Linked DNA regions of Arabidopsis thaliana. The protein of the gene in region 1 interacts with the protein of each later gene in a pairwise test. Each region holds a gene or a part of one and is shown in the gene's direction. Other genes may lie near its edges. The genes, in order: FRS5, AT4G12850, AT3G59470 and AT3G24490.

The links.
Region 2: the proteins of FRS5 (region 1) and AT4G12850 interact in a two-hybrid assay, tested with the Arabidopsis thaliana proteins (one large-scale study listed by BioGRID).
Region 3: the proteins of FRS5 (region 1) and AT3G59470 interact in a two-hybrid assay, tested with the Arabidopsis thaliana proteins (one large-scale study listed by BioGRID).
Region 4: the proteins of FRS5 (region 1) and AT3G24490 interact in a two-hybrid assay, tested with the Arabidopsis thaliana proteins (one large-scale study listed by BioGRID).

What each region holds. Positions count from the first base shown.
Region 1 is NC_003075.7:17,904,960-17,913,490, reverse strand, and holds FRS5 (FAR1-related sequence 5), read left to right. Parts: upstream 1-3,747; 5' UTR 3,748-4,086; coding exon 4,087-6,279; intron 6,280-6,615; coding exon 6,616-6,789; 3' UTR 6,790-6,977; downstream 6,978-8,531. Other genes in the region: CSLD4 (cellulose synthase like D4), read left to right, coding at 1-265, 368-1,976, 2,085-3,395; FRS9 (FAR1-related sequence 9), read right to left, coding at 7,052-7,219, 7,301-8,531. UniProt on the Arabidopsis thaliana protein: Putative transcription activator involved in regulating light control of development.
Region 2 is NC_003075.7:7,534,066-7,541,447, forward strand, and holds AT4G12850 (Far-red impaired responsive (FAR1) family protein), read left to right. Parts: upstream 1-2,908; 5' UTR 2,909-2,999; coding exon 3,000-3,359; coding exon of another isoform or gene 3,360-3,416; exon of another isoform or gene 3,417-4,016; coding exon 4,017-4,211; 3' UTR 4,212-4,378; coding exon of another isoform or gene 4,379-4,837; 3' UTR 4,838-4,983; downstream 4,984-7,382. Other genes in the region: AT4G12840 (GTPase Der (DUF707)), read right to left, coding at 1-5, 96-149, 238-304, 389-454, 550-666, 742-843, 929-1,047, 1,129-1,203 and 4 more; UNE14 (EF hand calcium-binding protein family), read right to left, coding at 4,379-4,837.
Region 3 is NC_003074.8:21,976,712-21,983,786, reverse strand, and holds AT3G59470 (Far-red impaired responsive (FAR1) family protein), read left to right. Parts: upstream 1-2,947; 5' UTR 2,948-3,258; coding exon 3,259-3,259; exon of another isoform or gene 3,260-3,654; coding exon 3,655-4,244; intron 4,245-4,487; coding exon 4,488-4,688; 3' UTR 4,689-4,977; downstream 4,978-7,075. Other genes in the region: AT3G59480 (pfkB-like carbohydrate kinase family protein), read right to left, coding at 1-105, 283-684; AT3G59460 (F-box/LRR protein), read right to left, coding at 5,604-5,633, 5,726-5,875, 6,263-6,274; AT3G59455 (Bifunctional inhibitor/lipid-transfer protein/seed storage 2S albumin superfamily protein), read right to left, coding at 6,657-6,947.
Region 4 is NC_003074.8:8,905,588-8,912,723, forward strand, and holds AT3G24490 (Alcohol dehydrogenase transcription factor Myb/SANT-like family protein), read left to right. Parts: upstream 1-4,834; 5' UTR 4,835-5,434; coding exon 5,435-6,436; 3' UTR 6,437-6,636; downstream 6,637-7,136. Other genes in the region: MSH7 (MUTS homolog 7), read right to left, coding at 6,831-7,136.

The sequences.
Region 1 (8,531 bases):
ATTCTAACTATACGGTGCACATACCTCCGACGCCGGACAATCAGCCCATGGCCACCAAAGCCGAAGAGCAATACGTGTCAAATTCTTTATTTACTGGTGGTTTCAACAGTGTAACACGTGCACATCTTATGGACAAAGTGATCGATTCAGATGTCACACACCCTCAGATGGCTGGCGCTAAAGGCTCTTCGTGTGCCATGCCTGCTTGCGACGGAAATGTCATGAAAGACGAGAGAGGAAAGGACGTGATGCCATGTGAATGCCGGTATATATTAATAAACACTAATTGATATCTTTTACTTGTTGCACAAGAAAATGAGGTTTAATTCTAACTAACCAACAAACGTGGTGATGATTGTCTTTGTAGGTTTAAGATCTGTAGGGATTGCTTCATGGACGCCCAGAAAGAGACAGGCCTTTGTCCAGGATGCAAGGAACAATACAAAATCGGGGACCTAGATGACGATACGCCTGACTATTCTAGTGGTGCTCTCCCCTTACCAGCTCCAGGGAAAGATCAACGTGGGAACAACAACAACATGTCTATGATGAAGAGGAACCAAAACGGTGAATTTGATCACAACAGATGGCTATTCGAGACGCAAGGCACATATGGGTACGGTAATGCGTATTGGCCTCAAGACGAAATGTATGGCGATGATATGGATGAAGGGATGAGAGGCGGCATGGTGGAAACAGCTGACAAGCCATGGCGGCCACTGAGCCGACGAATCCCTATTCCAGCCGCCATCATTAGTCCTTACAGATTACTAATCGTCATTCGTTTTGTCGTGCTATGTTTTTTTCTAACTTGGAGGATCCGAAATCCTAACGAAGACGCAATATGGTTATGGCTCATGTCTATAATATGCGAGCTTTGGTTTGGATTTTCATGGATTCTAGACCAGATCCCTAAGTTGTGTCCAATAAACCGGTCCACTGACCTGGAAGTTCTTCGTGACAAATTTGACATGCCTTCTCCCTCCAACCCAACAGGGAGGTCGGATCTCCCAGGTATTGACCTTTTTGTGTCAACGGCAGATCCAGAGAAAGAGCCGCCCCTTGTCACCGCCAACACGATTCTGTCCATATTGGCCGTTGATTATCCGGTGGAGAAGGTGTCATGCTATCTTTCTGATGATGGAGGAGCTCTTCTATCCTTTGAAGCTATGGCAGAAGCTGCTAGCTTTGCGGATCTCTGGGTACCTTTTTGTCGCAAACATAACATTGAGCCTCGAAATCCAGACTCGTATTTCAGTTTGAAGATAGATCCAACAAAGAATAAGAGCAGAATTGATTTTGTCAAGGACAGAAGAAAGATTAAGAGGGAGTATGATGAATTCAAGGTTCGCATCAACGGCCTCCCTGACTCAATACGGAGGAGGTCAGATGCATTTAATGCAAGGGAGGAAATGAAAGCTCTAAAACAGATGAGGGAGAGCGGAGGTGATCCAACAGAGCCTGTGAAAGTCCCCAAAGCCACGTGGATGGCAGATGGCACCCACTGGCCAGGAACTTGGGCAGCCTCTACTCGAGAGCATTCCAAAGGTGATCATGCTGGGATTCTCCAGGTGATGTTGAAACCACCTAGCAGCGATCCATTAATTGGAAATAGCGACGATAAAGTCATTGATTTTTCAGACACGGACACTCGTTTACCCATGTTTGTGTATGTGTCACGTGAGAAGCGGCCTGGATATGATCACAACAAGAAAGCTGGAGCCATGAATGCACTTGTTCGTGCCTCTGCTATCCTCTCAAATGGACCTTTTATCCTTAATCTTGATTGTGATCATTACATCTATAACTGTAAGGCCGTACGAGAAGGGATGTGTTTTATGATGGACAGAGGTGGTGAAGACATTTGCTACATTCAGTTTCCGCAAAGATTCGAAGGCATCGATCCTTCTGATAGATATGCTAACAATAACACTGTATTTTTTGACGGTAATATGCGTGCTCTCGACGGTGTCCAGGTACTGTATATATACTTATTTTTGATGCAATGCAAACCAACTATAGACAGATATATATATAAAGATCCTTTACCAAAAAATAAATGATTCTCTGTTTTTCTTTTCCAGGGACCAGTTTATGTTGGAACAGGTACTATGTTTAGGCGCTTTGCTCTCTATGGTTTTGATCCACCCAACCCTGACAAGCTTCTTGAGAAGAAGGAATCAGAAACAGAGGCTCTAACCACCAGTGACTTTGACCCGGACCTTGATGTCACACAACTCCCCAAGCGCTTTGGGAACTCCACACTCCTAGCTGAGTCAATTCCAATTGCAGAGTTCCAAGGTCGTCCATTGGCAGACCACCCGGCTGTCAAGTACGGTCGTCCTCCCGGAGCCCTTAGAGTCCCTCGTGACCCACTTGATGCTACCACTGTCGCAGAGTCTGTTTCTGTAATCTCTTGTTGGTATGAGGATAAAACGGAGTGGGGAGATAGAGTTGGATGGATTTATGGGTCGGTGACAGAGGACGTGGTCACAGGATACCGCATGCATAATCGTGGGTGGCGCTCGGTTTACTGCATAACTAAGCGAGATTCTTTTCGAGGCTCTGCACCCATTAATCTCACGGATCGTCTTCACCAGGTGTTGCGGTGGGCCACTGGGTCTGTTGAGATCTTCTTCTCTAGAAACAACGCCATTCTCGCCTCCAAACGTCTCAAGTTCCTCCAACGTCTCGCATACCTCAATGTTGGGATATACCCTTTCACGTCTCTGTTTCTCATCCTCTATTGTTTTCTTCCGGCATTCTCTCTTTTCTCTGGACAGTTCATCGTGCGGACGCTCAGTATCTCCTTCTTGGTCTACCTTCTTATGATCACCATTTGTTTGATTGGATTGGCGGTTTTGGAGGTCAAGTGGTCTGGCATTGGGCTGGAAGAATGGTGGAGAAACGAACAGTGGTGGCTCATCTCAGGAACAAGCTCTCACCTTTACGCAGTGGTCCAAGGAGTCCTCAAAGTGATTGCAGGGATCGAGATCTCCTTTACCTTGACGACCAAGTCAGGGGGAGATGACAATGAAGACATATACGCGGATTTGTACATAGTGAAATGGTCGTCGCTGATGATACCGCCTATAGTGATAGCAATGGTGAACATAATAGCGATTGTGGTGGCGTTCATCAGGACAATATACCAAGCGGTGCCACAATGGAGCAAGCTAATCGGAGGAGCATTTTTCAGCTTCTGGGTGTTGGCGCATTTGTATCCATTTGCAAAAGGATTGATGGGACGAAGAGGCAAAACTCCAACCATAGTTTTTGTGTGGGCAGGTCTCATTGCCATCACCATCTCTCTACTGTGGACGGCCATAAACCCAAACACCGGACCTGCAGCTGCTGCAGAGGGTGTTGGAGGCGGTGGTTTTCAATTCCCGTAATTAAAAAAGCATTCATATAGGCGACTTGAGAGTTTTGTAGACTAATCACAAGAAATTAATACGTATACTATCTTTGTTTCTTTTTGTTTTTGTTTTTGTTCCTGGTAGTAAATTTTCAGATAACTACATGTATATCTGGATTGAGATGTCATGACTGTATAAATCAGCCTTTGTATCAATCATTTCGTCTTTAAAAGTCAATTTTTCCTCTCCTCCACTCGCAACTGATAGTGAACCATACGGTAAGCGTAAAAGAGGATGGGCCTTATAAAGTAAATGAAGAGGGAGTGGGCCTTATAAAATTATAAATGAAGAAGGAATGGGCCTTATAAAATAAATGAAGAAGGAATGGGCCTTGCTTAAATTAAAAAAAGAGAATTAGAAGCACCGTCTGTCTTCCTCCTCCGTGCCCTCCGACGACTCTATTCCCAGTCTCCCTCCTCCGTCGTCTCTCATCTTCCTTTTCATTCTTCGGTTATTATAACGTAATCAATTACAAGTTCCCTTATCTCTTCTTTTCTGGTTTCTCCCGCGCACGAACGCGCATTCCCTCGTCTTCGCTGCCTCCCAATCTCAATCTCAGACTTGAAATCAAATCACGACTGTAAGTGGTTCTATCTACAGTAGCTAGCTATTTCATCCTGTTGTGGACAATAGATAGATAGAATTCATCCCTGAAGACAAGGAGGATATGATGGATAATGAAGTGCTCGACTTCGATATTGGTGTAGGAGTTAGTAGTGGCGGAGATGTTGATGACGACGCTATTGATATTGAGCACCATGCTCTCGACGACGATGATATGCTCGACAGCCCAATTATGCCTTGCGGTAATGGTCTTGTTGGCAATTCTGGAAATTACTTTCCCAACCAGGAGGAGGAGGCTTGTGATCTCCTGGATCTCGAGCCCTATGATGGTCTTGAATTCGAGTCCGAAGAAGCTGCCAAGGCATTCTACAACTCGTATGCCCGTCGCATTGGCTTTAGTACCCGTGTCAGTTCCTCCCGCCGCTCCCGCCGTGATGGAGCTATCATCCAGAGGCAATTTGTCTGTGCCAAAGAAGGTTTCAGAAATATGAATGAAAAGCGCACCAAGGACAGGGAGATCAAGCGTCCCAGGACCATCACTCGAGTCGGTTGCAAAGCCTCCCTCTCTGTTAAGATGCAGGATTCCGGTAAATGGCTTGTCTCTGGCTTTGTCAAAGACCACAACCATGAGCTTGTTCCTCCCGACCAAGTTCACTGTCTGCGTTCCCACAGGCAAATCTCTGGCCCTGCCAAGACTTTGATTGACACACTTCAAGCTGCAGGAATGGGTCCCCGCAGAATCATGTCCGCCCTCATCAAAGAGTATGGTGGCATCAGCAAGGTTGGTTTCACCGAAGTGGACTGTAGGAATTATATGAGGAACAACCGCCAGAAGAGCATAGAAGGAGAGATTCAGCTTCTTCTTGACTACTTGAGGCAGATGAATGCTGACAACCCAAACTTCTTTTATTCTGTTCAGGGAAGCGAAGATCAGTCTGTTGGTAATGTCTTCTGGGCTGATCCTAAAGCTATAATGGATTTCACTCACTTTGGAGACACCGTTACATTTGATACAACCTACAGGTCCAACAGGTACCGTTTGCCTTTCGCACCCTTCACTGGTGTAAATCACCATGGCCAACCCATTCTTTTCGGCTGTGCCTTTATCATCAATGAAACTGAGGCTTCATTTGTATGGCTTTTCAATACGTGGCTAGCCGCAATGTCCGCCCACCCTCCTGTCTCAATCACCACCGATCATGATGCTGTTATACGTGCAGCCATCATGCACGTTTTTCCTGGTGCCCGCCATCGCTTTTGCAAATGGCATATTTTAAAGAAATGTCAGGAGAAGCTGTCGCATGTCTTCCTCAAGCATCCTTCGTTTGAGTCAGATTTCCACAAATGTGTCAATCTGACAGAGTCGGTTGAGGATTTTGAGAGATGCTGGTTTTCACTTCTTGACAAGTATGAGCTAAGAGATCATGAGTGGCTACAAGCAATATACTCCGATCGCCGGCAGTGGGTCCCAGTATATCTCCGTGATACCTTTTTTGCCGACATGTCCTTAACTCATCGTAGTGATAGTATCAATTCATATTTTGATGGTTATATAAACGCTTCAACCAATCTAAGCCAGTTCTTTAAGCTGTATGAAAAAGCTTTGGAGAGTCGTCTCGAGAAAGAAGTTAAAGCAGATTATGACACAATGAACTCACCTCCTGTTCTGAAGACTCCATCTCCAATGGAGAAGCAGGCGTCTGAACTTTACACAAGGAAGTTGTTTATGAGATTTCAGGAAGAACTAGTTGGAACCCTGACTTTCATGGCATCCAAAGCTGACGATGATGGGGATCTTGTTACCTACCAGGTTGCGAAATATGGAGAGGCTCACAAGGCTCATTTCGTTAAGTTCAACGTTTTGGAGATGAGAGCAAATTGCAGTTGCCAGATGTTTGAGTTCTCTGGCATCATTTGCAGACATATATTGGCAGTCTTCCGGGTCACCAATCTCCTTACACTTCCACCTTACTACATCCTAAAAAGATGGACCAGAAATGCCAAAAGCAGTGTTATATTTGATGATTATAATTTGCATGCGTATGCTAATTACCTGGAGTCTCATACCGTCCGATACAACACCTTACGTCACAAAGCTTCTAATTTTGTGCAAGAAGCTGGAAAATCTCTGTATACTTGTGATGTCGCAGTTGTTGCTCTGCAAGAAGCTGCCAAGACTGTGTCCCTGGCAATGAATAAGGAAGTTAGAAGAACTATGGCGAACAGGCATTTTAAAGCGAGTTCTGTAACTGGTGGAAAACATCAGCAAGAAGTGCTGGCGCAACCTGAGCCCGAGGTGAGGATCATTTTCTTTTCGATACTTGTTTTCTTTTTGATATAATAGCAATCAAATTTGTTGCTCTAAAAAATAGTTATATACGTTTGAAGTATCGTTTGTGCGGGTTTGCCCCATACAATACAATCATTGCTTTGTCTCCTTGACGGTACCATAATGCTGATTGCTCTGTTAACGTTTGACTAATGAGCTCGTGATTCACATATGCATGTTAAGAGTATGGTCTTCATTTTGCCATTGTGAGCCTTTGTTCCGTACAATCTGCAAGGTCCTCAATTTTGCTATGTGCTTTTACTGCTGACTAATTGCATGACCGTATTTCCTCTACTTTCGCAGGACGAAATGGACAAGAAGATTAATCAGCTCAGAAACGAGCTGGAATTAGCAAACAGGAAATGCGAAGCTTACAGGACTAACCTACTTTCAGTTTTGAAAGAAATGGAAGACCAAAAGTTACAAGTGTCCATCAAAGTGCAGAACATCAAAATTAGCTTGAAGGATAATCTGTGAAACAAGCAACAAATTCCGACTGCTATTCTCATCTATAACATATTGCTCATGTACTATATCTCTTATAGGGTTTTTGAAAGAGGGACCCAATTTTCAGGATTTCCCTGTTCTTACAGTAGGTAGCCTTTGTAATAGATTGTACTCCCAATCATTTCCTTACTGAGTAAGAGCATGAAGTTGATTCCCATAAATGTTTGCATACCAAGTTACCAACCACAGTACGTGAGTTGAATTGTGATGTTATGTATCCAGCAGATTGCACTCACTCTTTCAAGCTTAGTCTAGCATTTTGTACCTTGAGGGATAGCTGAAACTTCTGTTCTTCCATATCTCTCAAAATAGACAGCAGGTTTGCTCGATAAACTTCACATCGCTGGCCTGTCCTCTCCAACTCAGCTGTCAGTTCAAGTATCGTCCTCTCTTTTTCACCCTGGCATTGAAGTAAGTACTTATTCCCAAGGAACAGAGGACATCAATGTTAAAGAATTATCAAATACCAGTATTCGCTTACCCCTGGATGATTCGTTGCATTTGCTGTTTCTCGAGCTTCCTCGGACGGGTAAGCTTCCCCATTGGGAAGCCTAGTTCCAGGTGTTCTGTTACTTGCAGCAGCAACCTTCTTGGCAGCTTCATCCAAAGCATCCATTGCAACTTTATAGATCTGAATAGATTTGGCACCTTCCTCGACATACTTGGTTGCTTCTTGGCGTAGACTGTTGAAGCAGAGATTTAAAGATTCTTGACAGCCATTTGAAAACTCAGGTTGTTCCTCAGTGCCTCTAATCTTTGCTTCTTTGGTCCATCGCCTCAGTAGATACCGAGATGGAAGAGCAAGAACATTTTTGGCACTGAACACCGCCAATATGTGTCTACATATAATCCCTGAATACTCAAACATTTGACAGCTGCAATTAGCTTTCACCTCAAGAGAGTCAAAACTGACAGTATGACCTTTGTGAACTTCTCCGAACTTAGCGACACGATAAGTAGTGTGAGTTCCTGAATCACTAATTATATTTGCAGGAATTGCAAGGGTCTCAACAAACTCCTCCTGAAACTTGATGAATGCTGCCCTTGTATAGAGGCTAGCAGCTTGCTTTTCCATGGGAGAGGGCGTCTTCATAACTGGAGTAGAGTTAGTTGCTTCGTAATCTGCTTTCAGTTCTTTCTCACGCCAACTATCAATTGCTTTCTCATACTGTTTTATGAGCATTTGCATTGTAGTTGATGCATCCACAAACCCTTGGAAGAATGAGTTCAAAATGCTGCTTCCTTCATTTGTAGACAGCTCTCCATAAAAGGTGTCTCGGATGAAAACACGGACCCACTGTTGTCTAGCATTATAAATGGACTGGAGCCAGTCGTTATCCTCCATATAATATCTCCTGACGATAGAGTCCCAAGATGCCTCAAACTCGGCAGCCGTTTCTGTCTCAGTAACGCAATTTATAAATTCGGATTCAAAGGTAGGATGAGCCTGAAAGACGTGAGCAAGTTTCTCCTCAGTTTCCTCGAAGATGAGGGGCTGGCTGAAACGAAGGCGGGTTTGACTGAAAACTCGAGAAACAGCAACCTGTATCAGGCGATCTGGTTCAACTGTAATAGAAGGAGGAGGGGGAGCAGACATTGCTTGAAGCCAAGTTTGGAAAAGCCACGCAAAGGAGGACTCAGACTCGTTGAGTATGAGAGCACAACCAAAAAGAACAGGCTGCCCATGATGGTTGAACCCGGTGAAGGCAGCA
Region 2 (7,382 bases), about 10 Mb from region 1:
TCACCCTATGCCAAGCAACAACAACAATACTAAGAAAAAAACAAAACCAACAAATAAAAGAATGTACATATTAGCTTGGCTCAGTCACAATTTACCTGTGCACAATATCCAAGCTGAAAATCTATACCCCATCCATGGTTTAAGTCATTCTATAAAAGAAAAAACACAAAGTCAAGTATCCAGATGTTGATGGTCTTCATGAGTCTGTAACATAATTAGTTCAAACATATGAAATACCTGAATCATATGCCATGTACACCTCCAAGCTGCTCTGGAAAACACAGGAGCCATCATTTCAACAAATCTGTAGGAGAGAGTTTTTTTTAATGAGTTTAAGAACAAGTTATGCTTTCCACTGAAGAAGGAAATGAAGATTCAGTTCTTTTACCCTGTGCAAGGAGGTCCAGTGCTATTCTCGTTGCACCTCGCCCGACCAATGACTTTGTATGTTCTCCTTTTAAACATCAAAACGTTGTAAAAAGATTCATTCTTACAATCTCTTTTCTTCTCTTTGCTAAAATTTTTTCTATTGGAGCTTGAGAGAAGTACCTATGTACTCTTGATTTCTTGTCTCGTGAGGTAAGTTGATGATGCACTTCAGAGAAATTGGGATCAAGAGCAGGTTGTGATATTTCAAGCTTTTCTTCTTTAATAATTGAAACATACCTGAAAATTTTCATCTCATTAGATACCACATCTTTACCAAGTGACAAACAATATATTCTTTGTATAACATTGTACCTTCTAGCATCAAAATGGTCAACACCGAGATCTTCATCCCATAGAAAAATGTAAGAATAAGCTGAGACAATATCCGGGTGTAGAAAACGCTTTGCAAACCACCTAAAAGAGTCACAAACATATTCAAACTGTACAGCCAAATGTAAAAAATCCTCGTCGGGTTTTACGATTATAACAGAACAGTTACCATTTGGTTTGGTTTACTACAGAAATATGAATGGCAGTGTCACTCCACTCAAACTCCTTCCATTCATCCACAGCACCATCGTAGTGAAACAGCATCACAACAAACTCACTTGATGGAAACTGCCATATAAGAAAGTGGAAAAACAGAGATATCACATCAAAACTGTTTCATTACCGAGAAGGTAATGTCCGAGGTTTTACCTTCTTGACAATCTTGTTGACACTTTCCTTTTGTCTTATTCCAACTGCCATAGCTAATAAGCTTGGTTTCGGTTTCTAAGCAAACAAAAACAGAAAATATAGCGTTAAAGGAATGACAACAGAGAAACTTGTGAACGTTTGGCAACAGGTAAAGATACCTTATCGCGCTTTGCTCCCCATAACGGTCGCATTTCCAAGTCAGATGTACTTGCAACAATACCTCGCGGTAACGTCTCGCTACCAGGAGGCCTAAGTTGTGTCTAATTAAGCAAAGCAACATGAAAAAATGTTAAGATTCATATAGAAAGGGAACTTTGTTTTGAGCAGCTTATTCAACAGACCTTGCACATCTTTAGTTTAGCAAGATTTAGTCTAATTATCGAACTCCATCCCGCGATACCCTGTCAATTAGTACACTCAAAACTGTTCTATAACATTATTCAGATTCAAGATAATGCTTAAAAGTTGCAGTCTAAGAACTCATACCTCTTTATAGTCTACTGTAATAAAAGCATTCCCTATAAGGAAGATCATTGCAAGAAAAAACACTAAAGAGAACAAGCGACGAAGAGACAAGCCCTTTCGTTTTTGATTCATACTTAATGATCCCTGAAAAGGCAACGAATAAAGAAGATCCATAACACATTAAACTCAAATCACAAGAACCTAATCAGTATTTAAACCCAAACACACACAAAATGACATTAATAGGGAAAGTAGTATGATCTCATTGAACAACAATGCCACAATAAAGATTCAAGATTGTGAAAGACTTGAGAGTTTTAATTGTGTAAACTCATAACGATCCACAGTTTCGTAGAGAATGGGCATATAAGTAGAACATCAACACATGAAGAAGATAAAAGACTTGAAATTTCATGATTGAAAACTTCAATTGGATTCTTGAGCTAATGAAATTTCAGAACTTTTTTGGTTTATTTCGACAACTTTTGAATCCAGAAATGGCAAAATGGGAGACAAACAAAAAGAACTAAACAAGACAAGAAGAAAAGAACGAAGAGCAAGAGAAAAAAGCTTACAGAGCTCAAAATCTTGGGTTTCTTGTTCATTTTTCAAGAACAGTGGTCTAAATATAGCGAAGCTCTTTCTTTAAAATCAAATAAGTAAAGTGTAGAGTCATAGTGTTAGAATACCTTATTTTTGTCAGAATTGGTTATTTTACAAAATTATAACTACTACTTTAGTTCCTTAAAGTTAGCTTCGAATAGGAAAATAAAATAAAATTGGGTATGAAAGCAATTACTGTAAGAAGGTCAACAAGTCAACCGTTTTAAACAAAAGTGATATTTTACTAAATTCGAAATCGAAATTTGCGTGTAGGAATCGTCGCAAAAGAAGGTTTTTATGGCTTAAAATGAGTGACCAAATGTCATTAAAGGTTCGCACGTGTATTGTTTTGCTATGCATTTCTCCACTTTATATAAGTAACGTATGATGCGATGTCCATGTGACCAGCTTTTGCTTAGATTTGTTACAAGAGAAAAGATCTAAGAAAATTAGGGTGAATAATATAACAAATAATTTTCTTTTCACTCGGAAAATTATACAAATTGTTTTAGGGTCAAATTTATCTTTATAGGATAAAGTTATTCATTTACATCTACATTGAAGAAGAAAATAAAATTTGGATTAAGGTATATGAGGAGCAATGTAAGATACATTAAACCGGTTCGTAAGATACATTAAACCGGTTTAATGTTCAGAAAAATCGAACCGGATTAAGTTTTAGGAAAATAGAACCGGATTAATTTCGTGAATCAAACATACCGGATTAACAGAGCTTGATCTGAAACTTAACGAACTCGATCCATAAAGGGTTTTGTTTTGTGAGTTGGATCTGGCTTATTCCGATGATGACCGGAGATCTGAAACTTGATGAACCTTACGTAGGTTTGAAATTCGAATCAGAAGAAGAAGCTAAAGATTTCTATGTAGAATACTCCAAAAGATTAGGGTTTGTTGTGCGTATGATGCAGAGACGAAGATCAGGTATTGATGGAAGAACACTAGCGAGAAGATTAGGTTGTAACAAGCAAGGCTTTGGTCCTAATAATCAACGATCATCTAGTTCTAGTTCTAGTTCACGAGAAGGTTGCAAAGCTACGATTTTGGTGAAAATGGAGAAATCTGGGAAATGGGTTGTTACTAGATTCATCAAAGAACACAATCACTCTCTTCAATTCATTGGGTCTTCTTCTTATGATTCTTTTGTACGTTTTCAAAGTTTGTATCTTTGGGTCTTTTTGATTTGCTTTGCTATTACATGACTTGGATGCTTGAAGAAGACAGATTTGTGTTACTGTTTTTTGCATCTTTGGTTCTTGTTTGCTACTACAAGGCTTGATGTGTTGAAGAAAGAGTGTGCATCTTTGGGTCTTTTTTATTTGCTATTACATGACTTGGTTGGTTGATGAAGAGAGATTTGTGTTATTGTTTTTTGCATCTTTGAGTCGTCAAATTTTGATTCTTTGGGTCTTGTTTTGCTATTACAAGACTTCGGTGGTTGAAAAAGAGAGATTTTTGTTACTGTGTTTCTGCAGCTTTGTCTCTTGTTTTGCTATTGCAAGATTTGGTTACTTGATTTGCCATTACAAACACTTGAAATTCCTTTGTACGTCTTCATATATTGCATCTTTGGGTCATCTTGATTTGCTATTACAAAGACTTGGTTGCTTGAAGAAAGTGAGGTTTATGTTACATTTTTTTTTTTTTTTTTGCATCTTTGGGTCTTAATTTGCTATTACAAGACTTGGTTACTTGATTTTCCTTTGTACGTCTTCCAAGTTTGCATCTTTTTGGTCTTTTTGCTTTGATATTACAAGAATTGGATGATTGATGCAGAGAGATTTGTGTTACTATTTTTGTAGGCTGATAAGGAAAGGAAGATTAAAGAGCTTACGGAGGAGATCGAGTGTCAGGACCGATTATGCGATGTGTATCGGGATCGATTGGTGAGTTTTATCGATAATGTTGAACATTATACGGAAGAATTGTCACTTAAAGTTCGAGATATTGTGGAGAATGTTAAGAAACTTGAATGTCAAATACAAACAAGAGCTTGATTCATCTATAAGCATTTGTCGAAAAATACCGAAGATTGCTCCTCCTTAGATCATAGTTTGTCCTAGCATTGAACATTCAATTATTTTAGCAGAAAACTAGTGTTAATTAGGCAAATTCAAAACATACAATTATCTATACAAAAATTATTGTTAAAAAAAGGGAATGTTTAATTGGAGCTAAGAGCAGCAAATCCACCACCTCTCATCATTTGTTTGAACTCCTTAAAATTAACCATACCATCTCCATCAACATCAACCTTACTTATCATCTTCTTGCAATCTTCAAGTGTTCTCCCTTGCTTCAACCCCATTGACGCGAGCACCGACCTCAGCTCTTCATCTGTAATGAACCCATCACCATTCTGATCAAATACTCTAAAGGCTTCTCTCATGTCCTCTTCTTCCTCTTTCTCTTCCACCATTTCTTGATACAATGATCCAAACTCATCGATATCCATGGCCCCGTCTCCATTCACATCCATCTTTGCTATCATCTCATTGATTTCATTTTCAGGGACCATGATTCCCACGCTTTTAAAGAAGTCTTTCAGCTCGTTTTTCGCAATCTTCCCGTCTCCATTCTTATCGAACATTTGGAACACTCTACTCAATTCTCCACGATCCATTCTTTATTGAAACCTTGATGATCTTTAAGCCAAAAACTAATGGAGAAGAAGAATCAAGATCAACACATAGATTCTAAAAGGAAGCCTAAGCAAGTGAAATCTTGTAACAGTTTAAACAAAACAGGACGTCGTGAGAAGACAGAAAATTTTACTAAAAGAAAAGACAGATGAGAGAGAGCTTAACGGATTCTGTTGATAGATTCAACACTTTTGGATCTTTCATTTTTCAGGCTAAAAATAGTTATATATGCCTTGAAATAGACTCTATGAATCATCTAATTCTGACACAATTAAGGAGAACCCCACTAGTTTAACCATAATTACTCGCCGAGCAATGGAGACACGAAATAGTAGCATGTTGAATTACATCGAATATTCATTTGTAGGTTGATAAACAAAAGAATTAAACTATGAAATTTGTTGCAATCAACCTTCCACGTAAAATCGTAAAAAAGAGACCTTGTAAGTATCTAGCTTCCTTAACCCATTCATAAACCTTGAGTACTTTTTACATAAGTAGCCAATTGATAGGTTGGATGTAATTCTTCACAAATATACTCAAGAAAATAACACACAATAGATAAGCTAAACCAACCCTAGTTCTAACTATTAAGTTTATGATGATTCTTACAACACCTTGAGTAAAGAACACTCTTCAGATCAAGCTGAATATCAACTTCATTTTTTGATGCATGCATTGTTTACCAAGGTTAATAAGCAACAATTTTAACAAAAAAAAGGTTAATAAGCAACAACAAAAGCGTTTAATGCACCAGAAATGTTGAGAAGCATGTCTTATGGGTCTCTCTGTCCCTGATTCTAGACTCATTCTAAGTGTTTGTACACTCTCTGTCCCTGATTCTAAGGTTGCAAAAGAACAAGAATTAGCAACATCTCGATCACTTGAATTTTCCTCAAGCGTGGTCTTCACATGAATTTTTGCTCACATCTTCAAGGTCACAAGGGTTTATGTTTGACCTTTCTTCTTGCATAGTGATTATCTTTGAGTTAATATCAAATTCATGTTCCTGTTCAAAATGGGCCACTCGTATATATATATATATATAATATGTATTTAAATTGTGGATATGTTCGAATATCTGTTCGGGTTCGGATTGGGTTCGGGTTTTAGGATTTAGAAGTTTAGAACTCGTTCGGGTATTCATAAATTTTGGGTTGGTTTTGAATATGGTTTTTTGGATCGGGTTCGGATCGGGTAATCGGGTTCTGTATTATACCCACCCCTACTTCTCACTGTCAGATCTGAAAACATGAATATTCATATCAAACGTGTTACAAATTACATTATATCTTATGACATTTTAATTCAATAATAAATGGCAATAAGTGAATTGATTCACAAATCTCATCACATTTTCGTTGTGGGATTTTTTAACGTCTCTTTTAAATTATTAGATTTTTTTGGGATGAAATATGTCTGAACAATATTCAGGTTGGATTAATGTATTTTTGTGGTTTATTTTTTTGTCGAGCCTCATTGGCCATTAGTAAGTGGTGATGGCGGCAACATATTTTAACGGACTAGAACACATCCCATGTTTTGGTTCTGCTACCGTATTGAATGTTCATTCATAGACTCATAGTCCATCTAAACATATACAATGAGAAATATTTAATTGGTTCTGATAACATATACACAAACTTACAAAAACTAATTTAATGCTACTTACATATCTTACATATTTTCAACGGCTAGCTGAAATCTCCAACGGTATTCTTTTCATTTATTTATATATAAATTAGTCAATATATATAGCTTGTCAGCTAAATCCAAAGGTTGATATATGCTCGTGAGAGCTAATAATCATTCTTCAATTATCGATCTCATTTTTAAGAATTATTTTGCTACCTAAATTAAGTAGATGCACTAAAATTAGTAAAGCAAACTCATAATTGTATAGAGATTGCACATAAATTAAAATTAAAAAATAAATCACCTAAAAAGGCGTATAGACTTATAAATTTCATAGAGATAACTCACAAAAATATTTTCCTAAAGAAAGATAGAAATATTTGAAACTAATTGATGCTTTGCTCTATTTACAGGTTTTATTTTGAATCAAAACGTTGTACTTTAGTAAAAACTAATTATTATGATTAAGGAAGATTCTTGATGAAATGGAAAGTTGAGTTTATTCAATCTTAGTTTAATGAAATTTTTCACACACAAAAATAAAATAAAAATTGATGACATTAGATAAAAGGTAAAAAATAGACTCTATTAAGGTTCAAGCTAGACACCCACTTGCATATTGTCATTAATTGTTTTCCAAAACTATTAAAGTATAACAAAATATTGCAATTTGAAAAATGCATTAAGACCTACTTAGATAGGTAGGTAGAAGTTGGACTAATTTCTATTTACTGTTACTAAGATTACTTTATTTTATCTCTTTTATATTTGATTTGTTACAATGCTAGACCATTTTTTAATAATAATTATTATGATTCACTGTCAGATTTTATAACTTTTTTTTTACCATCGTAACATGTGTGTCGCCAAATAGTTTATGTGAGTCACTAG
Region 3 (7,075 bases), on another chromosome or scaffold:
TGAAAGCAACGCACCAGCTTCCTTAGCCACCTCCATGGCTTTCAAGTGAGCAGATCGACATGGCTCAACGATCAAGCTTATGGATCCGTAGTGGAACACCTTAGCCTGTGTAAAACAAAAACAAAACAGAGCACTCATTAACCTAACTTGACATCTACGTTACGTATACCAACAACCGTTACGTTAATGATGTAGCACCGTTCGCTAATTAAATGTGAGACACGGACCCAAAAAAGAATTTGCCTACGTGTCATATATTAATTAAAAATAAAAATAACGTACAGATCTGATGACATCAAGATTGAGCTCGTCGGGACGGAGGAGCATATCGGCACTAGGGTTCCGGTAGAACATGAACTCACGTTCTCCATCAGATCTTAGTGTCACGAACGCAAGTGCAGTCCTGGCTCCAGTGTCGAAATTGATACCTTCAGCAGAGACACCGTTCTGTTTCAAGATTCCGGCGAGCATGTGACCGAACTCGTCGTCACCGAGTTTTCCAACGAAAGCGGCACGACCGCCTAGACGGGAAATGGCGATGGCAACGTTGGCAGGTGCACCACCGGGGGCTTTGATGAAGCCAGGAGCATCGGCGAGGGATACACCGGAGACGGTTGGGACGAAATCGATGAGCATTTCACCGAAGCTCACGATCAAGCTTTTCTCGCCGTTAGATGCAGCCATTTTTAGTCGGAGTGTTTTGATCGGACGATTAAGATTGAGCAAAATAGAGAGAGATAGAGAGAGATTATGTTTTGGATATAATGAGAGGTATTAGAGAGAATCAAGGGTTTATATAGAGGTATTAGGGTGAGTGGTTTAGTCAAATCCACAAGACTTTTAATTAATACAAATTCAAATTTATCCATTTAAAGATTGATCAGATAAGATATCTAAACTGTGTTTGGTAACTTATTTTTTAATCGTAATATTCTATTGGTTGTTTACATATATGTTATGATTTGGTGAGATTTAGAGTAAATAGTGATTAATGTTTTTGACCAGATTTTATGCTTCTTCAATGGGACCTAGACGACGTATTTCACAAGGTTAATTTATTAGGGGCTTATCCGTTGTTAAGATAGTACTATTAAGGGGAGTAAAAGATACTATTAATCCTCCTCTTTTGACTCCGAATATTTTGTTTGTTTTGGATAACTTTCTTTTTCAATAAAATACCATTCATGGATAATTTTTTAGGCAAATCTACCAAAATCGAAATGTATTAATGAATGATTTGTTATAATTTAATTTCGCAAGGTTAATTACGAGGGGCTTATATCCGTTGTTGGATAAATATGTTAATATCCTCCTCTAATTTCGATTATCTCATTTGTTAGGATAACTTTTATTTCCGATTACACAAGATATTATCTCATGTAAATCTACTAAATCGAGAAATGCAAATCTGTTACAAATTTTATAAACGGGGCTAGCTTTGACATGTATGATCTTTTTATTTATCAGAGACTATCTACCAAGTACCAACACTATTTGGTTTCCTATTTCCCAAGTTATATTTTATGCATCAGTTATCACTACTAACTAACGACTATCCTTCTTCTTAGACGTTTTATTCCACGTAATTAAAGCGATTTATTGATTTCCAAAAAAAAAAAAAAAAGTGAAGAGAATTTTTAATAAATGCTAAATAAAATGGATATTTTAAAACGCAACGAAAGAAAACCATATGTTACAGATCTTTTTTTTTGGATTACTGATTCATATATATGTGGATGATTTATAATGTCTATAAAAATCTAGAGTTGCGAATTATCTAGGCATGACCAAAATCTAACTGTAACTGTATTTCGGACCGTAATCGGACCGTTTATTAACCGTAACCCAACCGTAACCGTATAAAACGGTTAATAACCGTAACTGTTAACCGTGAAAATAGATTCATTACGGTTAAAAAAATATAATAACCGTAACCGTATCAAAACCGTTGGTTAACCGTACGTTTAACCGCGCGGTTAACCGTATTATTAAAACCTTAAAAATATAGTTGTAACTGTGTATAATTCTAAATAAATAATTATTTTACTAAAATAGTAACTTAAATCGTTTAATATGCCCACTAATACGATCGAAGTTACTCCACTACTCTTTTTACCATAAATCAAATCATAAGTAGTTCATATTATTATTATTTATACTCTAAAAACTGTTTCTTAGTGCTCATAACATCTTTTCTTTATTATTGTTTTTGTTTGAAAAATATAATTAATTAAATCATTATAATTATAACCATTAATTTGTATATTCATTGGTTTATTTAAAAAAAATAGATAGCTGATTCGCTATAAATATTTGAAACACATAATCACGTAAAATAATTATTATTTGATATATCACTATTTATTTATTTATTTTATTATAAAGATTAATATAATATTTTGTCTCATATATTAATTATATCATAATTATCAAATAACCGTAACCGTATCTAACCATAACCGTATTTAACCGTAACCGTTTTAACCGTATATATAACGGTTAATGTTAAGGTTAAAAAAAGTTATAATCATATACGGTGGTTAATAAACCGTAACCGTAATAACCGTAACCGTGGTCATGCCTAAAACTATCTGGATAGGTTTCGATGATAACAGTGATATAAGCTAAATCATGAAATATAAGTAACTGAATATATTACTATGTAATAAGTTTTTTGCTATTCAAAATTTCTATGATTAAAAAAACTTAGCTAATGTAGTTTGGTAGTCAAATCGTATACTAAACCATCATTAGCTGGTTATCAATAGCATTTTAAAGAAAGTTAATTAAACCGGCTGAATTGGCCTGGTTGACACGAACAAAATGAATGCTAGAAATTAGAGAAATTTTGTTAGTACAAGGATGATTATGTAAATGAAGGATAATAAAGGGGTCAATTTTAACATTTATTAAAAGTCATGGACACACCGGTCTAACGGGTGCGTCGGTCGGCGAGAATTACGCTGTAAAAAATAAAATAAAATAAACATGTAATGAAAGAAAAAAAAAGAACATGAGGAATAATCATACGAGGCGAAGCGCACCGGAGGAACCATAAGTCGATAAACCCAAAGCTTAGATGAACGGTGAGTTGACTTCTTTCCGATTTTGACCCAATCATCTATCGCCACGTCATAGGGTACTGCGTCCTCTGCAATCCATACCCTGAACCGGCACCTTCTCTGTCTCTCCCCCAAATCGAAAACCTAATTCGATCGTCGTCTCCGACCTACATCTGCCGGAAAATATCTTTTGACCAGTAAGATTGTTTTATTCCTTACACCATTATTTCGGGTTTTTAATTTTCGATTTTGGATTGATCGATTAAGCCACTTAGACTAGTCCCTGCGAAAGAATGAGACTGAGAAGTTGGACATCTCGATACTTTTGGAAACCCCGATTTGTTGATGACTCTTGAATCTATGGGACGGTGAATCCCAAAGAATGGTTCCATTTTAAGTTTGTTTTGTATTGTTGGTGGAGGCTGGATGATTTTGAGAGCACTTGTACTTGAGCTTTGTTCTCATATCTTGAATTAGACAGTGGAATAGAAAAGATGACAACTTTGTATTAGTAAGATGATGAACACTTGTAGCTCTTCTTGCTAGATATTTGATTAGTGGAATTGCTGTTTTCCCTTTTTTTGAGTTGCAGTGGATTTCAGGATTGATAATGGAGTAGCTGCTGGGATGATGATGGGGATTCCTGTTGAGCTTGAGGTTACCACGGTTGAGAATCATAATGAAATGGGTGAAAGCTCTGGTCAAGCAATGATTGAGCAAGATGATGACAACCATAATGAACTCGGTGAAAATTCTGGTGAGCAAGATGAGAAGGTGGATCTTGATTCTATTCCTCTGGCTGTTGCAGATATGACAGAGGCTCAAGGAGATGAGCCTTACGTTGGCCAGGAGTTCGAATCTGAAGCAGCGGCTCATGGTTTTTATAATGCGTATGCTACTAAAGTAGGGTTCGTCATCCGTGTTAGTAAACTGTCACGGTCAAGGCATGATGGATCTCCCATAGGCAGGCAACTTGTTTGTAACAAGGAAGGTTACAGGTTGCCTAGCAAGCGGGATAAGGTTATTAGACAAAGAGCGGAAACAAGGGTTGGATGTAAAGCAATGATCTTGATTAGAAAAGAGAACTCTGGTAAATGGGTTATCACAAAGTTTGTCAAGGAGCACAATCACTCTTTGATGCCTGGCAGAGTTCGAAGGGGTTGCATTTATGATCAATATCCGGTTAGTTGTTACTCTCTTTCGTTGGTCAATATTTCTTTATATTCAGCCATTGCATTTGAAAATCCAAATTGGCGTTTCTTGGTTAGCTGGTTAATATATATATATATGCTGATGTGATACTGGTTCGTGACTAGTTGCTATATAGCATATTCATATTCATGTGCTGGTGTTTTGATTTTGCTTATATATCAGTTGTTACTAGAAAAGACTTAAATTCTAAAACTTTGCTCTCCTCATTTGCAGAACGAACACGACAAAATTCAGGAACTGATGCAGCAGCTAGCAGCAGAGAAAAAGAGAGCGGCTACTTACAAAAGACATCTGGAGATGCTATTTGAACAGATCGAACAGCACAACGAAAGCCTTTCTAAGAGAATCCAACACATAGTAGACAATGTGAGGAATCTGGAACAGAGAGATCATCAACAGAACCACCAAGTATAGTCTTTTGGTCTCTGGTTTTTCAGCACTTTGATTTAGGAGATAGATCTTCTCTTCCCCCATTTTCTCTCTTTAATAAAGATTTTTCTTGTCGAAAACAAAAGAGCTTCAATTGCCTTAAAGAAAGTTTTGTTTATTCTTCTTCTTCTTCTGTTCTGACATTGGTTTCGTTCGGATGATGCATAGCCATAGGTTAGTGCACATAAAGTGAAGGGTTTTTACTTTTTACGCTCTAATTAAATCGGCATTCTCCTGAAGATCTTTCTGCTGGTAAAAACTAGTAAGCTATATATACTACAGATTGGAAGAATCCTAAAACTCTATTTAAGATCACAAATCAGAAAGTGAAGAATCAAATCAGCTTGTTAATCACCACCTTTCATCGTCTAAGATGTTGCACTTGGATGAAACTGAAAATCCAAGCTAATGGACCACATATTGTGTAAAGTCTGCAAGAGTGGAAAGAAGTGTGAAATTGCATTGTAGGGACGATGTAGTCATCAAATACAGAAATGTTAATCTTATGCCAGGTGGAGTTTGACGAGGTAGGTAAGGTTACTCGTGTATCATCTAAGGGAGAGACTGCCAAAAGATACAGAAAAATAGCTCCCTGAAATTAAAGAGGCCCTTGCAACTGCAAGAGCAATGCGACATGTACATGAATTGTTACACAGAATAATTTGGTAAACTACATGAGATCTTGCATTTGGATGAAACCGAAAATCCAGGAAGCCTCAACTATAGACTATAGAACCCTTTTGGTTTGCAATACATGGTATTATCCACCACAGCTTCCGCAGCCTAGCACCACTTCACCGCATTCCGACTCCCCAATAAATTTATGTAAGCGTTCCACCTCTTCCGCATTTCCTCCATAACCATGAACATGCAGCATCTTCACTTGGAACGGAGGCATGGTCACATCGCCTGTGTAACTCTATCCAGCCCCTGGAAAAGCATCAAGAAGATGGATGTAAAGGCTCAACCACTAAGTCCCTAATCTCTGACTCTCTTTAGATATATTAGCTAATGATACGTACCTGGATGATTAGAGTTTCAAGCTTTGGAGACTGCTCAATCAGAAGTGGCAGCAGTTTCCAACCTCTTTTGTTCGTACTCCCAAAAGACAAGCTTACCAGATTGTTGAACACCGGTAGAAGTAGTCCACGTCTAACACAGCGAAGAATCACCTGAAACACAAACACACGCTCTTAGTGAATGTCCATGCAAAGAAAGAAAGTGGCAAACGTAAAGAAAATACGCTCATAATTAAGTATAGTAAACCGTTTTTCTTCGCTATATTAAGTTTTCAAACCCTAACATCATCAACTAATTATAGGATAATTAGGAAACAAAACTTTTTTTGGGGGATTTAAGGAAGTTCGTAACGACAACGTTATAAAGGGAAAACGATAATTTCTTGTGTCGTCATAACAATCGCGACATGTGAACTAATTAAACTTGTTATAAATACATTTGAAAGAGTCGGGGACCACACCCTTTAATAAACTCACAAACACGAGAATGGACGCCTGAGAGTTCTAGATAGTAGATACCATCTTTTCCCTTCTTGATACCATCTTGGCCATGTTTGTGTGACAGTTAATTATGAAGTGAAATCACAAGAATAGTCCCAAGGGCCAAGGATGTATGCATAATTAACGCGTACATGCCGTTTTCTCTAGTTTAGACTACTTTTTTTTTGTTTCTTTAAATAGAAGTAGACTACTTTTTTATTTCTTTAAATAAAAGCAAGTACAAAGTATCGAATTTGAAAGAGTGAAATAGTAATTCCAAAAAGCAAGAAAAACGTGGAATGTGGGAGAGATGGTTCATAAATATAATGAAGGCCAATTAGAGCAACAACTTATACGATTAAAAAAAGACAAGGAAAGACTTGATTAACTAATCTTATTAAGTATCTCCGGTTCGGCTTGACGACCGCTTATTGCTTTTGTTGGTTGACTATTTTTAGCCACACTTGAAATAGGACTTGAGACTTTGATTTAGAGGAACAGTCTTTCCACAAGAAGCCATAAGACGATAAGCTTCTTTCCATTGTACAGGATCTTTAATATACTTACACATACATGGTCCTGGTATTATTAGTCTATCACAACACTTCAACCACGTGGGTCTATCGTTCAACTTCAAATGTTGCATGCATAAATGAAGTGACTCTTTGCAATAAGAGAGCGTTGGAGTGGGGAATGATGTCAAGAGTACAACCAAGGCGATGAACATCAATGAAATGTTCTTCATTTTCTGATAACTTAGTATCTAATGTTGTATATATGTTTCTAGGTCTTTAAATAGAAAACTGAAATCAGAAACATGTGGCAATAATGAGAAGTGGTGATATTCTATTTTTACAAAGCAATTAGTATTCA
Region 4 (7,136 bases), on another chromosome or scaffold:
TGATTTCATAAAAGATATGTAGAAGTATAACACTGTTTTAAAAACCCAAAACACTATTATAAAACCCATACATTTTCGAATCTTTTATTCATTCTACAAACCCATACACTATTATAAAGCATGGATACAAATAATTTGATAACCGACTCCATTAAGGTTTATAATAAATTATAAGAATTTCGCGACACCTAACAGCCTAACTACCAGGTTTTATAAAAATCATTAGAAGGAGGACCAAACGAATCGCTTTAGTAATCAAAAGATTAGTTGTCTAATTAAGTTTGCTTTTGGAGCTTTTTCTTAGTTATTGCCGCAATGAAGCACACCGTGTGGGGACGTTTTGACACATCAGGTAATGTTCTCATAGACCAGCGGGATGTTCGAGGCTTTTAGGTCGCCGACATGTGTCGATTTTTGGATAGTCGAATTTAATAGTATATTACTTTAACGAAACAAATATGTAGAAAAATAACCATATGCTTTTTACTTTTGCATAATCACTTCTGTTCAAATTTACTTGGTATCCATGGTACATCATCATGTAAAACATTCGTTATGAAGTTTTTAAATAAAGTTATGTTAATGATTCGTGCCAAAAGGAGCACATTTCGCCAATAGCCAAAAAGAATTGTAAGAACCGAATTACAATAGAGTATTTGAATTTGTATTTTTAAGAAGTCATATGTTTTTTATGTTGAAAAACAATGTGAAGGAATTGAAGTCATCTAGAGTGAGTCGAGACGTATATTAAACATTCAAACTAGTTTAAGAAGTATGTATAACTCGTCCTATACACACAAGTTTTGTATCCTGACACTTTTTCTTGTGGGCCAAAAGGTCCCATAAATAATGCAAACTTCACTAATTCACGAGATCGTGTCTCCATATGAAGGAATTATACAAGTATTCAGATCTTGTTACAGTGTAAAATATTGAAAAAGGTGAAAGTGTTGCACTAAAAATCAGCCGTTGATGATTGATGAAGGAGCTTAGTATGGAGGATCTAGAGTGAACCATGCAAACATATACATATTTTTGATTATTTTATTAGATTTGTACGTATTGTATATAAATTTGGAAATTATGCATAATATGCATAGTATTCTTTTCCGTGGAGAAACATATAGATTTCTCACCTGAGCTTATATGAAAGTAACCACTATTTTTCTCATCACAAATCTCGCAACACTTCTTAATATGCTAGTAAAACTATAATGATCTAACGATTGGTACTGTTTTATTCTTTTTAAATTTTAAACCAACTGCTATTTTTAATACTCAAACATTCACTTTCTTAAAAACCAAGTGCTTCTAATTACTCTTAAAACCTAAATTATACATTTGAATCTAGGTTATCACTTCTCTTGTTAAATCAACAATGCTATGCGGTTAAATTTTGTCATGAATTTTTGATTTAAATAATAGAACGAGGTGATCAACATTTTCATCTGTTACCGGCTTCGTCTATATGAGGAGGCCAAGTGAAAGAAGTTATAATAACTAGGTAGGTCGCATGGTAAGTTTCCCATGAAGTCTTCAACGTCTTTTGTCCACTTGATTGTGCGCTAAATACTGTGTGAACATTCATTCATTATCTTAAGAACCCAAATGCTTTTAATTACTATTTAAACATAATTTGTACATTTGAATATAGGTTATCGAGTTTCTCTTGTTGAGCCAACAATGCAACATCTTTATTTCTGCCATTTTCAATTTAAAGAAAATGAATAAAATAAAATTAAGTATTTTGTTATTATATGCTTAGTCTTGTTAATGTAATTATAAGGAAGATAATGTTCCTTAATAGACTAGATGTGATTCATGAGAACCATGCACAAGAATTCAAAAACCCTAGAAGATTCGATGGTAAATGACGGATCAATTAGCAAAATATTCATGTACATTTACTATAACGCTATTGTATCTCTAGGATTATCGGGTTCTTGTAATGGATGATACACCACAAACCTTTTCTATATTTGTAATGCATTATGATTGACAAAAAAATAGTGTTCCTTGATTTTTTTTCTTTTTTTTGTGTGTGCATCAAGTGTTACTTGTTAATTCATTATTCATTTCATTATGTTTCTCATACACTCTAGCCATCTCTGTTTTTTTCACCAACTAATCATACAATTTTATAAATTTGGCGATTTTTTTAAAAAATAAAGACTCTATAGTCTATTTTTGATAATTGTATGTAACATTATGTACTATGAAAATATCATGCAATTGTGAAGATGACAAGGTTGTCATATCTTCTTATGAGGTAAGAAATTATTTCTTAGAGTATATGATCATTTGCTATTAGTTGTATTTTCTATCCTTCTATAGATATGTGAACTTCATTCTCTAGTTGAGTATGTATCAGAGTTACTTTTACCTTCCAGTACTAATGAATCTGGAAGCTCACACAGAATAAAAGTTCTTGCGTAGAGAAATACAAAATCTTAGTGCTTAGATGAACATTTGACCAGTGAGGTGAAGCAGACCACTATGGTTGAGATCATCTACTAGCAACCAGACCATCCAAAATCTCTTTTCTTCTAACCAAGAGACCAAGTCAGTGTCCCATCAAATTTGTTTTTTAATTTTTATTTTGGTTAAATATCAAATCCTTTATAACCAATTTCTCTTTTCTTCTCCATCCAATAAGTCTTTTCTATTTGGAATCTCATGTAAATCAAAGTGCTTTACAACTTTTTGGCAAACATTTTATCTTTAACACTAGACCAAAAACTTCCTCATTAATTAACTAAACTATATATATTATTGGCAATAGAGCATCCTGCTTTCGTAGGAATCCCCTTACCAAAAAAATCACCGAAGATACTTTTGGACTATATATTTGTCAAATCAATAAATAAAAATAAATAAAAGATTAAGAAATAAATGCTCAAAGCCTCAAAGTAAAGACAAAAGACAAAAAATTGGTGAAAGCAACATAGTTGGCATTGGAGTGAGCGAACGTAACCACTCATAACGCGTTTGAAAGAGATTGTTGTCAAAGACTTGAGAAACTTCGTAACGGTTTTATGATCACTCATTGACTCTCTCTCTCCGTTACACTTATGTTCTCGACGCGACCTTCCAACCATAAAATACTAATTTCATTTTTATTTTCACTTCATCGATATCTTGTGACATGTAATATGATTGGCTTATCAAAAATCTTTCATACGAATTTTCAAGTTTGTTCACATCTCTCTCCCAAGATATCCGTTTAGGAGCCTAGGACCGTTACTTCACTTTATTATTTTCATGTGGAGGAACTGTAATATATATCACAATTTTGTTGTTCTTGTTGATTGTGTAAATAGTAGTACTGGATACTAAAGAACAATGAGTATGTATCTCAAATATTTAGCTCAACCGTTTTATAAAAATACTATATTATTACCTTAAAATTGTTTGTTGCTTTATCAGTATTAGGTAATTATGAGATGTCACTGTTTAATCTATTTAAACGTTTTATGAGTTACATTAATGAAAAAAATCTGAAAAGTTAAAATTATACGAATACATACCTGTCTGACTCTACCTACTGAATTTTGTAAAACAATTTGTTATATTTTATAAGAAAGTTGATGTTGTAGTGTTTACTGTCTCATAAAAAACAATCTCTATTTATTTGATTTGAGACTTGAAATTTTTAAAGCTTGTTTTAAACTATACTGTTTTTCTTATAAAAAAATTGTATTAATTTTTTTTATAAATGAAACTGTTAAAAAAAATTGAAAATTTAGAGATCAAAACTAAACCTTTATAATCATTGAAATATATTGGTACATCTACCCACAAAACAGGTCAATCGTCTAGGTTTAATTATAATTAAGCCTAACATGTTAATGAGATTCAAACGAAATTAAAGTCCACAATGCCAACTCAACTCAAGTATCAAATCTTTTTCTTCTTTTTTTACTTAGCAGGAATACCAAACTCAAGTATCAAATCTTTTAAAATTTATTTTTTACTTATGTCAATGTGGGAATGACCGAGTTACTTAAGAGTTATGATTAATATTAATTCTTGTTTCTAACCAATTCATATATCATTGTCTTGGAAGCTTCTTCATATCAATGACTCAACTCTTAATTTTTTTCGAAAATCTGTTCTTACAAGGTCACACAATTCAATTTTTTTTTTGTATTGTAAATGTTTATCTCGTTATATTTACACTAACGAGATTTAAACACCTAAAATCAAATTGTACGAGACTAGTGTTAGTTATTCAATAGTATGATGCATTGATGCAACAAAATTCGTTGCGATTATTTATGATCCTTATCACTACCATGATCATTTCCATTAAGGTTATACTTACTTCCTTTTTGATGCATAATAATTACTCACCAACATTGAAGCGTGGTCGACATTTTCATTGGCAATAAGCATAACATTCATTTATTTATATTAAAACACAGAAACAAACAATTATTAAATAAAGAGTTCTGGCATTTCTCTATTTTAGTCCACTTAATTTAATACTATCATCTTCAAACAAGATTTCATCATTAATAATTTAAAAAATTATACGTTACATAGTGTATTAAATGAATTATCGTTGGGATACACTTTCACATTTTTCAAAAACGTATGAATCATAATGTGACACATGGAGATTTCCCACAACCGAGGCTCCCATAGTAGATGCTTATGCAATTCATATTCTTGCAGCTTAAACTCTTGCAAGTTCAGTAATAACACCGTGATATGAAAAATAAAACTTAGCCCTTTTTAATTTTTGAACTTATTCAGATTAATTAAAAGCATACGTAGCATATTTAAGAATATAAAGCAGAGAATCAAAATAACATATTGTTTCAATGGCACCCATTTTAGCTAGTCGATCAGTAACTGCATTCGCAGATCTTCGAACCCACCAAAAATCGACAGCTTCAAATCCTTTGAGCCAATATGACGCTAAAGGTCAAAATATTATGACCCTAAATGTCAGAAATTGACCCCATAAGTCATAAGTTAACCGACACCAAAGCTGATATTCGTTAGAGTTTAGACTCTCCTTTTCTTAATGATCGTTAGTTTTAGTTGGGAACTCTTGGGCTATCGGTTAAAATTAAATAATTGTGGTCCTCTTGGCCCATTAGTGCTGTCCAAACTGGCCCAATATGACCCAGTGGATGGTCCCAACAAACGCCGCGACAAAACTCCGTCGCTGGCTGAGGCAATGTTCACCGGTGGTGGTAGCTTTTCTTCTACTCCGACCCGGCTGAAAATGCAAATCCCTAACCCTAGACACGGCCATGGTTTATAAACCTCATCAATTTCTTCTACTTATCTCTTCTCAAAGCTAAACCCTCCAAGATATTCCTCTATTAGGTGCAAAAATCAGGTAAATCTCTATCTGTCCGATTTGAAACCCTAGATCTGCCTTTCTTCTCTCTTCTTTTGCTTTTCTGGGTTTTGCTCAAAGATGGGTGACAGCGAAGATGAAACAGGATACCCAAAAAAGTTTTACTCTTTGAATCGGCAAAACCATCCAATGTATAGTAGACCAATACCTAAGCGTCACGCGTATTACAATGAAGAAGAAGACGAAGATGAAGTCGAAGGAGAAGAGGAAGATCCACAAGGAGGATACATTCGTGGAAATGAGAGGTTTCAGAAGAGACAGAAACCAAACAAAGTAGTTTCTGGGTTTGAATTTGCTGGTCCTAGTGATGCTAAAGTTGCGTATGATTGGAGAGAGCAAGAAGCTTTTGTGTTGCTTGAAGTTTGGGGAGATAGGTTTTTGCAATTGGGTAGAAGGAGTTTGAGGAACGAGGATTGGAATGAAGTAGCTGAGAAAGTGAGTGAGGAGCTAAGGATGGAGAAATCTGAGACGCAATGTAGGAGAATGATTGATGACTTGAAGAGGAAGTATAGAAAAGAGAAGATTAAGGTTGAGAAATCAGGTTTAGGTTCAAGTAAATGGTCGTTTTTCAATAAGTTGGATATGTTGCTTTGTGTTTCGCCCAAGTCGGATTTAGGTTTAGCTTGTGGTGTTGATTCAGGTGAGTTTGTGTTTATGAACACTAAGGTTTATTTAGATAAGTCTAATGGGTTTGATGAGATGATGGATAGTCCTGGTGATTCTGAAGAGGAGGAGGATGAGGATGATGAGGTTGAGTACGAGAGGAAGAAGGTTAATGACGCTGCTTCGTATAAGATGTTGGCGGATTCTGTTGAGAGGTTTGGGAAGGTTTATGAGAAGATGGAGAAGAGTAAGAAAGAGCAAATGAAGGAGTTGGAGAAGATGAGAGCTGATTTTCAGAGAGATTTGGAGTTGCAGAAGAAGCAGATTGTTGATAGAGCTCAGAGTGAGATTGCTAGGTTACGTGAAGAGGAGGAGAATCATCATGGTGGTGGTGATGATGATGAGAGTGAAGATGAAGAAATGGAGAATGATTCTGATGTTAATCTCAGTGATGAGTAAGTTATAAACTATGTAGGTTTGTGTTGTTTGTAGATGCAACAAAATATGTTCTGTTTTTTTTTTTGGTTTTAGGGAATTCAGAACTTAAGTCTTATAAGTTTTGTAATTTGTGTTTGGTCTTTGCAACTTTAGTCGAGGTTATTTGCAGTTTATCTTGAAACTTAAATTAATGCATAAACATATTTCCTTCTTAATATACTGTTTGTGAGTATTTCTCTTGACCAATCTCATGAACATACATATATTATATACCATAGCTAAACCGACAGATACATATATAATCTTGTTATAATCGAGGAAACAATTTTTTGATATATAAGCATTTTTTAAGAGGAATAAACATCAGAGAAGCAAAAGACTTAACGAGCTTCAGATAGTGTTATGTCATAGCCATTTATTTGGGAACACAGTAAGAGGATTTGATCTCATGCCATAAGCAAAACAAAGTGTCGTAGTCATCTTCGCCAATGGGGGCATTGTTGTGGGCGACTCGAGAAATACCCACCAATGACTTGAGCCAGTCTTCATGCAGACTTGAGAACTCAGATCTTAGCTCACTTGACTTGAAGTTTTCCCCAATTGATCTCTTCATGGCTTGAGCAGCACCTGATGCTGTTTCAACCACTTGGTTTGGTATTCCAGCCATGAGTGCCACTTGAAGTCCGTAGCTCTCAGGACAAGCTCCCTCGGTTAAACGGTA